2 linked regions of the Struthio camelus genome follow. The protein of the gene in region 2 interacts with the protein of the main gene of each other region in a biochemical or structural test. Links are inferred from orthologs where the notes say so. Each region holds a gene or a part of one and is shown on either strand. Other genes may lie near its edges.

What was found.
Region 1: the proteins of RLIM (region 2) and LHX3 form a complex in vitro, tested with the Homo sapiens proteins (2 studies listed by BioGRID). The link is inferred for Struthio camelus from reciprocal best matches to the Homo sapiens genes RLIM and LHX3.

Annotation. Positions count from the first base shown.
Region 1 is NC_090961.1:3,432,475-3,440,171, reverse strand, and holds the start of LHX3 (LIM/homeobox protein Lhx3), read left to right. Parts: upstream 1-4,689; coding exon 4,690-4,759; intron 4,760-7,697. UniProt on the Homo sapiens protein: Transcription factor.
Region 2 is NC_090952.1:7,277,438-7,284,674, forward strand, and holds the start of RLIM (E3 ubiquitin-protein ligase RLIM), read right to left. Parts: upstream 3,007-7,237; 5' UTR 2,776-3,006; intron 1-2,775. UniProt on the Homo sapiens protein: E3 ubiquitin-protein ligase.

The sequences.
Region 1 (7,697 bases), on a different chromosome or scaffold from region 2:
TTTTTTCATGACCCTCATTGTTTAAGAGGTAGGACACAACAAACCATCATTTCTTTTAGGAATTTATCACAATCCCTGTAATCGTCTTTGTAGGGTCTGGGCTTGAATATTAAAACTACTTGTAGGCAACTATAGAAAGATAGTGAAACAACATTGGTAGTTAGTCCTGACTGGCTCTTTAGTGCCCCTGTGTTTTGTACTAGAATCCACAGAGAGATCCCAGGGATAGGTTAGTTAAGAAGAGAGCCCAGAGATTTCAAATTTAATGACCTAACTGGGGGGAATGGGCTTTGTTAACAGCCAAAAATCAAAGAGGTTTAGTGTCCCTAAAATAAATAAATGTTGGGCAGCATAGCAGGTATTGAATCTGGAAAATTTGGCTAGCTTTTGTAGGACTGAATCATTAACATTGCACATTTTAAAGTTGCAAATATGTAATTAGTGCTGTGGTTTTGAACTTTGCTGAAGAGCAAGACCTGAATTTAACTCTCATTCAACTTATTTTCATCTGCATATTAAAACAAAAGGCGTTGCAGGTTTGTAGGAATTATTTGACATGGAAACAGCAGCTTGTGTGCTTGGGAATATGTTATTCTTTTGCTACATACTGTTAACTTCATATTGCCTTGACCCTGTTTGAAATGTGGCAAAATAAACAGATACTCAGAGTTACAGTGTTCTTTTTTGTTTCATGAGAGTATTAAAAGCATGAAAGTAGAATGTTGATTATCTGTGCTGGTGCTATAACTTCAGTGTTGCCAGCTAACTGGCACAAGGCTTTCACTTTAATTGCTAGTAGTGACCTCATCCGGAAAAGTTTCCTTGTCTTTGAGTTCAGTTGTGTAAATCTTAGTTTATTTTTTATTATTTTGTATCTTTATAATGACAAGTTATATCCTTTTACATATTCTGACAGTAAGGATGTATTAAGTCCACCATGGAACGGGCGATACTGCTTTGCCATGGTGCATTAAAGGTAGGTGAGTTACAAGAAAGTATTTCCTTTTTAAAAATGCCTCAAACCACTGTCTCTTCAGTCCCAGAACTTTTATTTGTGTATTGTATTATATTACAAAAGTTTTTATAAACATTTATAGGTCATACAAAAACTCCTGTGAGTCACTTTTCAAGAAGGATTTCTGGCTCTTTGTAATTCATGGAGCTTTCTTTGCTATTCCGATGTTTTTAAAGAGGAAATACTAAACCTGCAGAGAAAATAGAGTACTGTGGAATATGCTAGGTCAGAGAATAGAAGAGCTGTAAGTGCTAAAGAAACCTAATGAAATTATTCCCTAGAACTGTAATTTTTAATTTCAAACAATGTATGCATCCTGCTATTCCTGCTCAGAACTGGATGTGCACTACCTTTTTAACAAGAGGTTCAAAATGTATTTTCTAGGTCTCTGTATTGCATATGAGGTGTTGAAAATGGTGAATATAACAGTTTGATAATTTAAATATTTATTTGTCATTCAATAATTTGACATTTTCATAGTTTTTTTTTTTTTTTAACTTAATCTCATACCTCTTTCTGGGAAGGAAAAGTGACTATTTTGTACTAAACTGTAAATTAATGTGCTTGTTAAAAATAAATTGCAAGCATTTGGACAAAATGGTGCATTTTGGTTTTTTATCTGTGTTTGAGATCTTTTTAGCTAAGCTATATGGCAAGGGTAGCCTGTATACAAATAAATTGCAAACCATGTAGGTAATTTTGTGCAGGAACTTAAAATAATTTTTAGGAGTACCAGGAACATGTAAACCTGTGCTCTATTTCTTTCTGTGTTCTCCTGTAACTTTATAAAAAACATATGTGTAAAGACATTGCTGAATGTCTGCAGGAGTGATGGGAAAAAAATCACTTTCTGCCCAGTTATTTGTCAGTATTTTATATCTATGTATTTATACATATCTGTAAAAATCTTTTTCCTTTTCCTTAAGTCTGAACATCTCTTCTTTGGCAATGGTGATGCTAACTGCCTCTAGACACTTGCAGATTTTTTTTTTCCGGCTTCTACTGGCATCAGCAGTGCCTGCTGCTGATATGGTGGGCTAGGTGACTTGCTGAAAATATTGATTATCTACCTGCAGAAGTACTCACCTCAGGATGTTTTCAGAAATCAATAAACTGTACGCAAGGTACTCTGAAGTTTGATACTGCCACCCACTTTAGAGAAATGTGCATTTCCTTGCTGTCTTGTGACCCGGACAGGAGAGCAGTGCCTGCTCTCTGCAGTTGTCCAGCATGTTCCCCTGGGAAACCTGGTCTAACCTTCATTGCCTACATGTCTTAAGGGCAAATGCAGGTATCTGCCCTGCTAGTTCATGGGGTAAAGGTACCCTGTCCTTACCACCCACAGGTTAACAGATATGCGGCCTCATTTTAACCAGGCGCTAAGAGAACTCACTGCATTATCTGATGAACCAGTTCACAAAGTGGTTGGGAAGATGGTTGTACTACACCGTCTTCCTGGAGGAGGGAAATAAGCACAAGCTCCTCTAAAGGAAGAATTTGTCCCTCACAGTACAGACCTTTGGGTCTGTCTGCAAAAAAAGCTGACAGAAGGGAACTGGGTGCAAATACATTTTAGGCTTCTGTTATTGACCTCAGGAAATGTTTTTAAGTTTTTTTTTTTTTTTTTTTTATGGTGGCAGAATCACAGCGAGGCAGCTCATGGGCCAGGACTGATGCTACAGGAAGGGAACTGCTGAGCTGCAGGGATGGATCACTTGGGGATGGGGGTGCCCAGGACCCTGGTGGCAGCCAGAGTGGGTGGGCTGGGGCTTGGAGCTGGGTCTGCAAGGGGCTGCGGGCCACATCGGAGAGGCACCAGGTGGGTACCAGGGAGCCAGCGGGGACTGAGAGCTAACGTGGAGCTGTCCGAGGCCCCAGGCCTGGAGGGGGGCAGGTGGCTGCGGGGAGCTGGCGCCTGCTAGCGCCGGTCCTGAGCAGGCATCAGCCGCCTGCCCAGTGCTGCGAAGCCTGTGCCGCTGCCCCGACCCCTGCCCCCCCGCACGTGCCAGTAAACCCCCCAGGGCTTCTTCCAGAGGAAATGCTCTCCCCCCCCCCACCCCCAACGGTCCTAAACTGCTTCCTTAGAGGATCAGACAAAAAAATCCACTTATAAAACTGAGCTTAAAAGAGACCCTGTGAGCCATCAGCTGCCCCACTAGGGACTGTGTCCCCAGGGAGGGTCCTGAGGCCCCCGTGCAGCCGGGTGCTAGCGGTACCCAGCAGGACTCACCAGGACACCTGGCTGCCACTGCAGCAAGGTGGCCGCAGTACCCAGCGGTACCCAGCCCGGCACCAGTGGTACTCCACCGGTATTCCAGCTTTGCTCCAGCCTGATATTTTGGTACTTTTTTGAGGGACTCTAGATCCTTCTCCTACTCCAAAACGCCCCCCTCCCCTGCATTATTTTCCAGTCCTGCAGATCCAAGCTGTCACCCAGCCTGGGACATGTTCCCCAGCCGGTTGCACCCCGTGGGGAGATGGGCCTAGATGGAGCCGTCGGGCCGCCACAGCCCTGCGTGCAGCAACGAGGCCAAAGGGGAGCACAGCTGGATGGGGCCCAGCTCCGGTGGTGCTCAGTGCTGGGTCCAGGGCCGGGACGGGTGCTGTCGGGCTTGGGGGGCTTGGGACTGGGCCCGCTGCCCCCAACCATCACAGCGGGGCCACCCCCGCCGGCAGGCGAAAGTCCCTGTGCTGCCGCCGGGCAGGAACATATGTGTGTTTGGAGGCTCCCGCCCCTAAGCTGCTTTTATTAATTTGTAATCCCCTGCGAGCAGGAGGTAAAGGGATTCGGGGGATTAACGGGCTCACAGTAACAACCACAATTATCAGCTCCGGCTGCCTGGGGCAAGCAGTGCGTACGCATGCACAGAGATGTACGTCCTGCCACACACGCATACACCCACCCACCTGTGTGTGCACACTCTTCTGCACGCACAGATGCACACGCACACAAATACAGACACGTCCTCACAGCAGCAGGCACACCTGCACACACGCACCTGCCGACGCGGAGCCCGGCACACCCCTGCATGCACACCCACGCACAGACACAGCCTTGTGCACACCCCCCCCACCAGCACACGTGCACCCCTGCACACACCAACACAGCTGCACGCAGCTGCACGTGCAGGCCAACGCGCACACACGCCCGCACGCACACAAAACTCCCCATAGCCCTGTGAGCGTGCACACGTGTGCCGCCTGGCCCACACATGCGTGTACACACACGCACCCTGCACATGCGTGCACACACACACCCGTCACCATGTCCCCCCATCGCCACTTGGAGCCCGTCACCCCCCGGCCTGAGGGCTGCTCGCTACCGATGCGGGGTGGGGGACGGTTCCCCACGCCCACGGGCGGCTTCGGGGGGGCCGGGCCCGGGGCCGATGCGCCCCCGCGGGACGTGTGGGGACAACCCCCCCCCCCGCCGCTGCCGCCTTTGTGATGCTAAAGACCCCCTCGGTGTAACTCGCCCAGCTGCGGCCCGGCCCGACGGCGCGGTGCCGCCCCCGGCCCGCCCCCCCCCGCTCCGCGCCGGCCCCGCTCCGCTCCGCCCCGGGCGGCGGCCAGCCCCCGCCGCGCTGCCCTGCGCTCCCCTGCGCGCCGCTCCGCCACTCCTCCGCAGCCCGCCGCGCACCTCGGACGGCGCCCGGCGCGCCCGCGGGGCCGCGATGCTGCTGGAGCGGGTCCGCGCCGGCTCGGAGAAGGCAGCGGAGCTCTGCCCCTTCCCGCGGAGCCCAGGTGAGGGGCGGGGGGCGCGCGTAAACCGCCGCGTCCCCCCCGCGGAGGCAGCGGCGGCGGCTCTGCGAGCCCCGACGGGAGCGGGGCGGCCCGAGGGAGCCGTGCCGTGCTCCCCGGGGCACCGTCGGGCCGCGGCTGGCGCTGGCTGCAGGAGAAGGCGGGCGGCCTGAGGCCGCGGTGTGAGGCTCCCGCCCGATGGCTCCCCGCCCGCCCGCCCCACGCTCCCTCGCTCTTCATCCTGCCTCTTCCCCGAAATAAGAGACAAACCCCGCAGCCGCCGGTGCCGGGCTGGGGCTGGGCACGGCTGCTCGCACCCCCCGGCGCCTCCGGCCCCGCGCCCGCTCCAGGCGCCCGCGCCCGTTTCCGTCCCTTTCGTCCCGTCGGGTTTGAGCTCGGGCTCCCCGTTCCCCGCGCAACGAGGGCGAGAACGAAACGCGGCGTTTCCAGCCGCCGGTTCCTCCCCGACGGCGGGCACCCCCTGCGCCACCCTCTCCGGCTCCGGTCGTGTTTCCCCCGCAAGGAAACGCTCCCGTTAATTCCTTTGATAAACGGGTTTTTCTCCCCCATTTAATAAACGGAGAAAGCGCCGGCGCTGTCGGGGTGGGGGAGAACTGCGCGGGCTTTTGCGCGCCCCGGGACCGCCCGTTCCCTGCATTTGTGCGGAGCCGTCGCGGGCCGGGCCGCTGGGTGCCGGGACCGGCGGAGCGGGGGCAGAGCCGTCCCGGGGCATCGCCCGGCTTTCCGCAGGCGCCTGCCGCCGCCCCGTCGGGCCCCGCGCTCGCCCGCGGCTGAGAGGTGTCTTAAAAACAAAATAAAGAGGAGCCGAGGCCGGAGAGGTCCCGGTCCCAGCCACGCTGCTCCGCGCTGCTCCGCAGCCCCCGCCCCGGCCCCGCGCTGCCCCGTTTGCGGCGGGAGCCGACGGGACGGAGCCGGGCTTGAGCCGGCCGGGCCGGGCAGCCGGCAGCCCCCGCCGTCGGGCCGGTGTCCCAGCTCCTCCCCGGTCTTGGCGCCCGGTCTGTCTTTCCGGTGCGTTGCCCGGCGGCTCTGCGCGCTGCGGTTGTTGCAGCCGCGGGCGACGGCGCGTTTGACGCCGCAAATCGGGAGATAAGTTTTGCTGGAGCGGGAAGAAGCGAAACAGCCGCAAGTGGATTCACGGTACAAGGAAGTACGCGGAAAAGCCATTTGACCGCAGCACCCGGCGCCTATGAATAGCTCCGCGGCTCCCGGGCTCGCCAGCGCCCGCGGGGCCGCCGCTTCCGTCGGGGCCGGGGCCGGGCGAGGCACCGGGCGCCGCGGAGGCTGCGGCAAACGGCGCCGCGGGGCTGAGCGGAGCAGAGCGCCCCAGGGCACGGCGGCGGCAGCACCGGGGCCCGGCGGGGGCCGTTCGTTCGTGCCGGCCGCGGTGGGTACGAGCCGCTCGGGCGCTTTACCCCGGGGAGGGTAAATCCCTGTTTCTCCGCGGCCCGAGGAGGCGGGCAGCGCACAACGAGTTCCCGGGAGCGGTGGGTGCTGCCCCCCCAGGCGCTCCCCCGGTGCGGCCCCCGGGGCCGGCCCGGCCCCCTGCCCGCCGCCGGCCCCGTCGGGGGGCGGCTCCGCCCGGCTTTCGTTTCCCGGGCGCCCCGGAGCCGCCGTCCTCCCACCGTTCCCGGTCGCCAAGGGGCGGCGGGAGGGGATGTGCCCCCCGGCTGCCGGCCCCGGGCGGGGGGGGGGGGATTAAATATAGCGCCCTGGGATGCTCTGCCCGGCGCTTCCAGCCGGCACCGGGCAAGGGCTGGGGGCTAAAAATAACCTGCTTGAGCGAATTAAATCCCTGGCGCTGCTGGGGGGGCAGCGGCGGGGGGTTATTGCCGCCGTGATCTGGGGGGGGGGGGGGGGAGCTCGGCGCCCGGAAGGCCTGGCGGGGCGGGGGCGCCTCGGCTCCGCACCCCAGTCGCGGCCCCGGGAGCGACGGGGCGGGCGGGCGGCGCCTGCCCGGGCGCCGTCGCCGGGCTGGGGGCGGCAGCGCGGGGGCTGTGCCCGCGCCCCGCGGAAGATGCCCCAGCCCCAGGGCCCCGCCTGAGAGAGAGCCGCAGCCGCGGCCCGGCGAGGCGCCATGCAGCGTAAGAGCCGCGGAGCGCGGGGTCGTGCCGCGGAACCGTGCCCGGTGCTTTGCCGTGTAACCGTGTCCCGGGGCCGCGCCGTGGTACCGTGTGCCAGGGTTTTGCCCTGTTACCGTGCCCGGTGCTTTGCCATGTTACCGTGCCCGAGGTTGGGCCGCGGTACCGTGTCCCGGGGCTTTGCCGTGTCACCGTGTCCCGGGGCTGTGCCGTGTTACCGTGCCGCGGCCGTGCCGTCTTGGGCCGGGGGCCGGGGCGGCAGTGAGGAGCCCCGTGGCAGCCTGGCTCTCCCCGGGGCAGCCGGGCCGAGCCGGGGCCAGCGCCCCCGGGGGCTGAGGGTCACCGCTGCTCCCGCGGCTGCCGCTGCTGTTGCTGTTGCTATCTGTTTGAATGTGGTTGATTGCTGAGGAGATTATTATACCTACAACGATATTTTCTTTACCTCTACACCTATCTACCACTATGCATCTCTATGTATGTCTTTATATAGATATCTATATATATGGATATCCATATAGCTGCATCTATCTATACCGATATAGCTATACTGGTATATTTCTGTATATCTGTCTGCCTCTTTTCCTATCTATAGCTATACCTATATATCGATATCTCTATAGCTATATCTATATAGCTGTATATTTTTATCTATGAATAGTTATACGTATTCATATATTTTTATATTTATGCATCTGTCTATTTTTGTATCTTTATCTATATCTATTTATATCTGTATCTATATCTATATCATCGCTACCGGTATCTGCAGGGCGACGAGGCAAGCCTACAGGGTTTTTATTTTCTGTACAATTCTCATTATTTTTGATAATTTTTTTTGCCAC
Region 2 (7,237 bases):
TAAGTAAAACTCATTTGAATTTAAACACGTCTCTAAGACTGCAAGTTCCTTTCTGATGACTAAGGTAGGCAGGCTCAAGCATTTCATTAACAACATTACATGCACATACACCTTGCATACTGAAATTAACACTGCTCTAAGGTAATGCTCTTAAGTTACTAAGTTTAGAGAAAGTAAACGTGCACTGACTTTTGTTACATATTCAATTATTATTAGCTGCTCTTACAAAACTGTGCAACTTTTCAGCCCTCACTAAGAAACGGAGCTTCCACAATCTGGATCAGTGCAAAAAACCCACCAAACCTAATAGCTAGCGCCTGGACAATACGATGGAGATACAGCCTCCTGTGCTTCTGATGTTCTTCATTGCAGCCAGGAGTCTTTTCAAAAGCAAAATGGAGTCTCTGTGATGCTACTAGCTATTCTGCACATCGAAGGAAGATCCTCTCTCTAAGCTATTACACTGCTACACTATATTCAAGTATTGTTTTTGAGATACACAGGACCATCATATTAAGATATCTCGAGGACAGGGATGTTCATGTTTTGTTTTACCCCTTCGAGGCTATGCTTTTTCAAGTTAAAGAGTCATGAAGACTGAGACTAAAAGGTACATTGCAATATATCAGCTTATACACACTCATAAACTTAGATAAATACCTTATATTCTTGTTAATGTTTTAATACACGGACACTGAATTCTCTACCAAAAAAAAAAATAGAGCAGCTTAATAACATATACTAAACAACATACCTTTAAATTGGACTTAAATGCAATCTTTAGGCTCTGTTACACAAAGTTATGTTAAGCTACAGCTGTAAAAAAAAAAACGTGCAAAACCTCCACCACAACTACAAGCATTCTATCAAGATCAAGGAATTTATTTTGATAGATTCCTATGGGGAAGAGCACTACAGGAATAAGCTATTCAAGTACCTTGATATGTAAGTGCTCTACAAATGTCTCCATTTAGGGACCACACTGCCCCTTCCCCTAAAAATACAGATACAAAGAGACACATAATGGAGGCCAAACACTTGTAACACTGTTTTCCAGCGTACCTTGGTATGTCTATGAATTTATTAATATGGAGTATAAATACAATACGAATGACAATCACTGCATGCTAAAAAGACGCTGGTGCGGTTATTTCAGAGACAAACACTTATACAGTCAGAACTGCTGATGAAAAGAATGTTGCAACTACCATGCTTTTGCGGTCTGACATAATGAGAACATCTTAATTTAACAGCATGTGGTGTTTTCCCCTTGTCATGAGCAGGCAAGACAGAATTTCCAAGCTATAATTCTTTTTGTTCCAAAATGGTAAACCTGTACAAGGAATACAGTCATTTTAGGTGCTAGTTGACCACTACAACAAAACTAAGCATCAGACACCCAATTAAGATAATTAACTGCACAAGCAGCAGCCAACTGTTTATTTTTCAAAAAGACTTGTCAAGTCACTGCAATTAAAATCCAGGGACAATTTGGTATTGGAGCTTCTTTAGCATTTTTATGATGACTTCCAACTTGAAATTAACCAGTAATTGACAATCTGGATAGGGGAAATAAATCAGATGCATGACTGTACTATTTGGATACAATCCAGTTTGAAGGCTTGTTTACTCAAAGACAAGCTTCTCTGGATAAAGCCTGCATCTTCTCAAAAAACAGTGAAACTAAAGCTATTCAAAAAATACAGTATTTTTTTGTGAAACTTTTTGGCAGGCTTGCTGTTCTACACAATAAGATCAAATTGCATAAAAAAAATAATAATTACACACACTACAACCAGATATTACTCCCTCATTAAAGATCACTGAAAATAAAAGTAATATACGTGCAGTGCTCTTGACCACGGTTTTGAAACACGGTAAACAAAAACCCTAAATGTCAGCAAAAAGTATTAAAAAAAAAAAAAGGGAAGGCGGGACTCACACACGGGAAGGTAAGGTGACAGAGCAAAGATGACGTGACTAAGCGCAGAGAAATTAACAGGACAGGAACGGCAAACATCACAGATTTTAACAGGTCGCAGTTAAAGACCCTTATAGGAGAGGCAGCAGTACAAACTCCCTTTGCCCCTCTCCCAAAACAGTGTTTCTTGTCTCCAGTCACAGGAGGGTGAACTGAAAACCCGGTCCTGAAGAACTACGAATCCTCCAGGAGGCACTAAGCGGTACGGCGAGGCCCAGGGCAGTGGCTGTAATTCCTCCCCCTACTCCCTTCAACCCCCTCTCCGAAAAGGGCCTGGTTGTGATTCCTCTGCCAGCCCAGCCGGCTCCCCAGACGGTGCGGGGCCCAGCGGCCCTTCCCGAGGCGGGAGCGCAAACCTCCTCCGGCTCCAGACGGAGGCAAGAGCCCGCGCCGCTTCGGCGAGAGGCCGCTGCCGCACACCGGCGGAGACGGCGGGGGAAAAGCCCCCGGCGGCCACAGGCCAGGCCCGTCTAGGGGGGAGCCGGGGAGGGAGGAGGAGGAGGGCGGCGGCGGCGCCCCGGGCACACCCGCCCGCACACCGCCATCACCGCCCCTGGCTCCAGCACGGCACCCCGCTCCGCCTCTGCCGCCGCCGCCGGACGCTTTCGGCCTCCGCGGCCCCGCGTAGCCACGAGCCGCCCGGCCCGGCCCGGCCCCCCGCAGCCCGCCCGGCCCCGCGCCAGCGCCGGCCGCCCCGGGCACCGGGAGGAGGAGGCCGCCGCCGCCCCCCTTGGGCCTGGGCCTCTCCCTTCTCCAGGCCATTTTGAACGCCCGCCTCCGGCCTCGATACTCACCGCCCGCCGCCGCCGCCTCCCCAGCTCTCGCTCCGCTGCTCTCCCCGGTCCTCAGCGGGCTCGGTGCCGGCTCGCCCCGCTCCGTCCGTCCCCAAACAGTCGCAACGGCTCCCTCCCTCCCTCCCCTCTCAGGCGGCCATTTTCTGCTCCATTGTTACCAAGGAACGGGGGCCCGGAAGCGGCCGCCGACAGCGGAAGTGAAGGCGAGGGCGCGCCTGCGCATGCGCCGCCTCCCGCCCAGGGGCGGGAGGGGAGAAGCGCGGCCTAACGAGCGGAGCGTGGAGGACCGCGCGGATAGAGCGGCCCTGGGGGTGGCGGGGGGGGGAAACGAGTGCCTGCCGCCATTTTGAAGAGGGGCAAAGGCTGCGAGCGGGAGTGGGGCTGGTCGGCGGCGGCGGCCGCCGCCCCCTTGCCCGCAACGGCCCGCGGGCGCGGGCTGACGGGGGCGCCCGGGGCTCCGCGGTGGCGGCGAGCGGGGCCGGAGGGCGCGGGAGCGGCGGCGGCGCCCGCGTCCCGCCGCCGGCGAAGCCTGCGCGCAGCGGGGGCCATTTCAGAGCGCGGCGGCCGGGGCCCTGGGGGCGCCCCGGGAATGGCGGGCAGCGGGGCGGGAGGCCGAGGCTGGCGAGGCAGTTGGCGGCTGTCGCCGGCCGTGGGCTGCCCCTCCGCCGCGGCCCCTCGCCCCGGCCCTCACGGCCGAACGGGGCACGGGCTGCCCAGCTCCTTGGTCAAGCGCTTTGTCATCCATTAGAGACAACTGTCGCACCGTGCAAAAGCTGGATGTGCCTGTCTTAACGTTGTTAGCCCTAAATGCTGGCCCTGCCATGTGCTATGAACCTGTTTTTGGTTTTGATTTGCTTTTTTTTCTTCAATAAAACAAATTTCTCCGCAGTGCCTCCCCTCCCACTGAAACTATAAATCCCACCTAGGCTGCTTCCCGGATAAGCGCGTCTCCCTTGTGACATCCTAGCAGAGGAGGAAAATCGGGAATCGATAAGACACAGTGGGAAGAAAAGCGTGGCTGAGAAGAAGTAGGGCAGCAAAGACCAGGAGAGAAAAAACTAGTCTCGATTTTTTTGAGCCCGAGGGGGCTGGAGTGCCCTGCTGACCATAGTTCAAGGAGAGGGAAACGGCAAGGCTTTGCAGGCTTGTCTCCAATAGAGGAAAGAAGGGATTCCCTCAAAATCCAGAAAGATCCCACTGGCCTAACTTAAAAATATCTCAAAAAGGACCTAGGAAAAATCAAACAGAGGTGATATCCAAGAAACTCATCTTCAGTTTTAGGCAAGATGCAATGCATGGAGGAAAGAGATTTCTGGAGATTTGCGTGGTTTCAGGAAGACCACGCTGGTTCTTTGCTTTTCTCCGTTTGTTTATTACAACAGTAGTGAGATTACTGTCAAGTTTAGGGGTGGGTTGCATTTAAAATTCATTGAAACTGAAATGGGAAAGAAGACACAGGCCCAACGTTTAATGTAAATGAGGTGTTTTTAAGTGCTCACAGTTTGAATGTTTGCACTCGGGTTTGAGAGCTGAAGCCCAGGAACAGTGTTTGTGCTGGGGAACAGAGCGGTCTGTTACGGGGCGTATTCCTCACCAGTTTTACTCCCTACACCGTGGCACCCGCAAAGGGAACGGATTAGAAACACGCTGAAACTAAGGTCCCGATGCCAAAATTACCAGTACTGGAGAGCTGCGGTCCCGGTTTCTTCTGGATCAGATGTAGCTATCCGACTACGTTTTTCTTGCATTGGCCAGAGGACAAAGCACGGAAGTTTAGGCCAGCTGCAGGAGGGTAGACGATACCTGATACGGCGTGGACTCGGCGTGACAGAGAGTCGATACCTAATCCGACATCAAACCTGCTGACAGGAGGTTAACCTGTTACATGCTCAAAATCAAATTGGAGCTGGGAGAGTGAGTTTAAATCAGATCAGTGCTTTGCATCGTGGCTGCGATATCGATCCTGCATGACGGCTGGATTTAGTGGAGGGTCAAACCGTCACTTAGCAGATCTGATCGTACTGTGCAATGTGAGTGAAATTTCAAAAAAAAAAAAAAAGGAAAAAGTAAATTTAATGCCACAAAAAAATCGCAGCTTTAATGAGCTGAAGTTTTTGTTATTGGCAAAAGTTGCGTTGCTTATATAGAGCTGTTCCTGACATACAACAAACTGATTTTTCTCTGTAGACGGTGCCCCTGTCACTGGCAGATGCCAGCGGCTGGAAAAACTGTATCCCGTGAAGAGAGAAAGGCTGGGGGAGCGTGTGTGTAAACTTCTAATTTTCGTCAGCCATCTTTGACACAGCCAAAAAATTAATTCCACTGTAAAACATCAATAATTCAGGCACCAGATGATCCGCACACAATCGATGCACTTTATCATGAAAGGCTTTGTGCTGCCGATTGACAAGGCAGCCACTGAGGGCGAGTATTGGCAATTAGTGAATCAAGAGGATGCCTGTCGGGGTACTCAGCTGAAAGACCTCCAGGAACGGTAACGAAATAGGTGACGCAACTGTGACAAAGCGATTCAGGCATTAAAGTGAATCCTGTATTTTCTCCCTTGCCTCGTTGAATGGCGGACGAGGTCACGGTGGGATAAAAGTGGCTTTGTGATACACCGGTAAGCTATGCAGCAAAATATTAGGCATTACTGAGCAATGCCTGGGGAGAAGGAGCGTATCGTAGCGTTCAAACTGAGGGCAAAGATGATGGTTCGCGCTCCTGGAACGGCCTCAGCATATTTTATGATCTCACCTGGCAAGCAATTTTATTCATTTGTCTCTTTCCCTCAATAAAACGCATTTCGTTGATTAATTTTCCTGAAAGTCTTGCAGCCCATCGAATGAAAAGCAGCAGAAGAATAAAACGCGTTTTTCATTACTTCTGCGGGTGAGTTCAGACGCTTAAGGCAGACGTTTGGCGGTTTGCTGGGAGACGAAGGCCCAGCGACGCGCAGCGGCGGCGGGTGACTTCGGCTGACTCGCGCTCAGTTGCAGCACGAAAAACGTCCAGCTAGGGCCTGGGGCCGACCAGGAGGGACGAGCGCCTCCCTCCCCACCTCAGCAAGAACTGGTGACGTTTATTTGCAGGTGTCGTCACAGGGTCGAGCAGGTGCGGAATAAGCTCTGGTCCTTCAGAGCCACTCACTGGATGTCAGCGTCCCGTGGATATGAACGGCATTTAATGGCTTGTGCCCACGTACCTCCTTGGCAGCGTTGAAAACGTGAGGCTCAGTGGAGCAGTGTATTTCAGAGAGTTTGTAGGAGGAGGAAACATCTTTGCATAGAGAACTTTCCAGTATAGGGAGAAAACCCAAAAGCTATAGCAAAAGCATGGCGCAATTCATCTTTAAGTGTTTTCGATTTGATAATGTATGTATAGCGAAAGAGAATTACAACACTTTTCCATGGTAAGTTTAATGTCTTTTCCTTTCAATGAGGGTAAACAAATTTGCTTTCAAATCCCCCAGAGTGTTAAAAACTGGTTATATGGAATGCAGGGATAGATGAGAAAAATGGGGGGTTTTTTTGTCTAAAAAGGTATTAAAATAATATATTCACAATATAGATAAGGAATAATCCAAATGCAGTGAGGCAGAGTAAAATTTGAATCTCTGGGGAGTTTCTAAAGCTGAAGCAAAAAAAAAAAAAGACTTGACAAATTCAAATCCTTGTATACTCGAAGTATTAGCAGAGCCAGATACTAAACAGGTAAATGAAGTCAATTTACTCTAATGTGGCAGCCTGGAACAAGCTGAAGAAGAAGCCTAAGGATATAACTTTGCTCTTTTCTCTGTGTCAATACTGACCGCGTTGCTTTACCATGCGGTAACAGGCCTTTCCCTGGATCAGACAAGTGGATGGAGGTTCACTTTTTTTTTTTCTTTTTTTTGGGATGGGAGGACAGAGGTTTATGTCTTATGACTATGGCAAAGTATTTTCCATTCAAACAATATCTCCGGAGGATATTCAAGTTGGTCACTTTTAAATCAGACAATCTGGCATCCAAGAATTTTAAAGAGCTGGAGGAGGTGATCTTTGCACCTTAAAGAGGGATTTTTAATAGTTTTCAGTGATTTGCCAGATTTGCAAGTTCAGATCGGAGACTTCCTTGTTAGGCAGCGCCGCACTCTCAAGAGACCGTGCCGGATTCACTCAGGTGCCGTCCCTGCACAGCGAGCGCATTAATCCCCAGCCAGCTTGGAGAGCGGGCAGAACAAGCACAAGCCTGTCTGCAAAAGAGCAGGTAGCTCCATCGCGTTTTGCAATAACGCAGGGGACTACAAAAGACTCAAGTAAAGGCTGAGCCCTGTTTGGATGGCAAAACCTGGGGGGCAATGTATGGCCTTTACTTGAGCAAACGTGGTGCATCATGCTGATCAAACGTCATGCTGACGACGATTCCAAGCGAAATAACGTTGGGTTGATGAGAGGCTTTGCTAATAAATCATTTCAAGAAG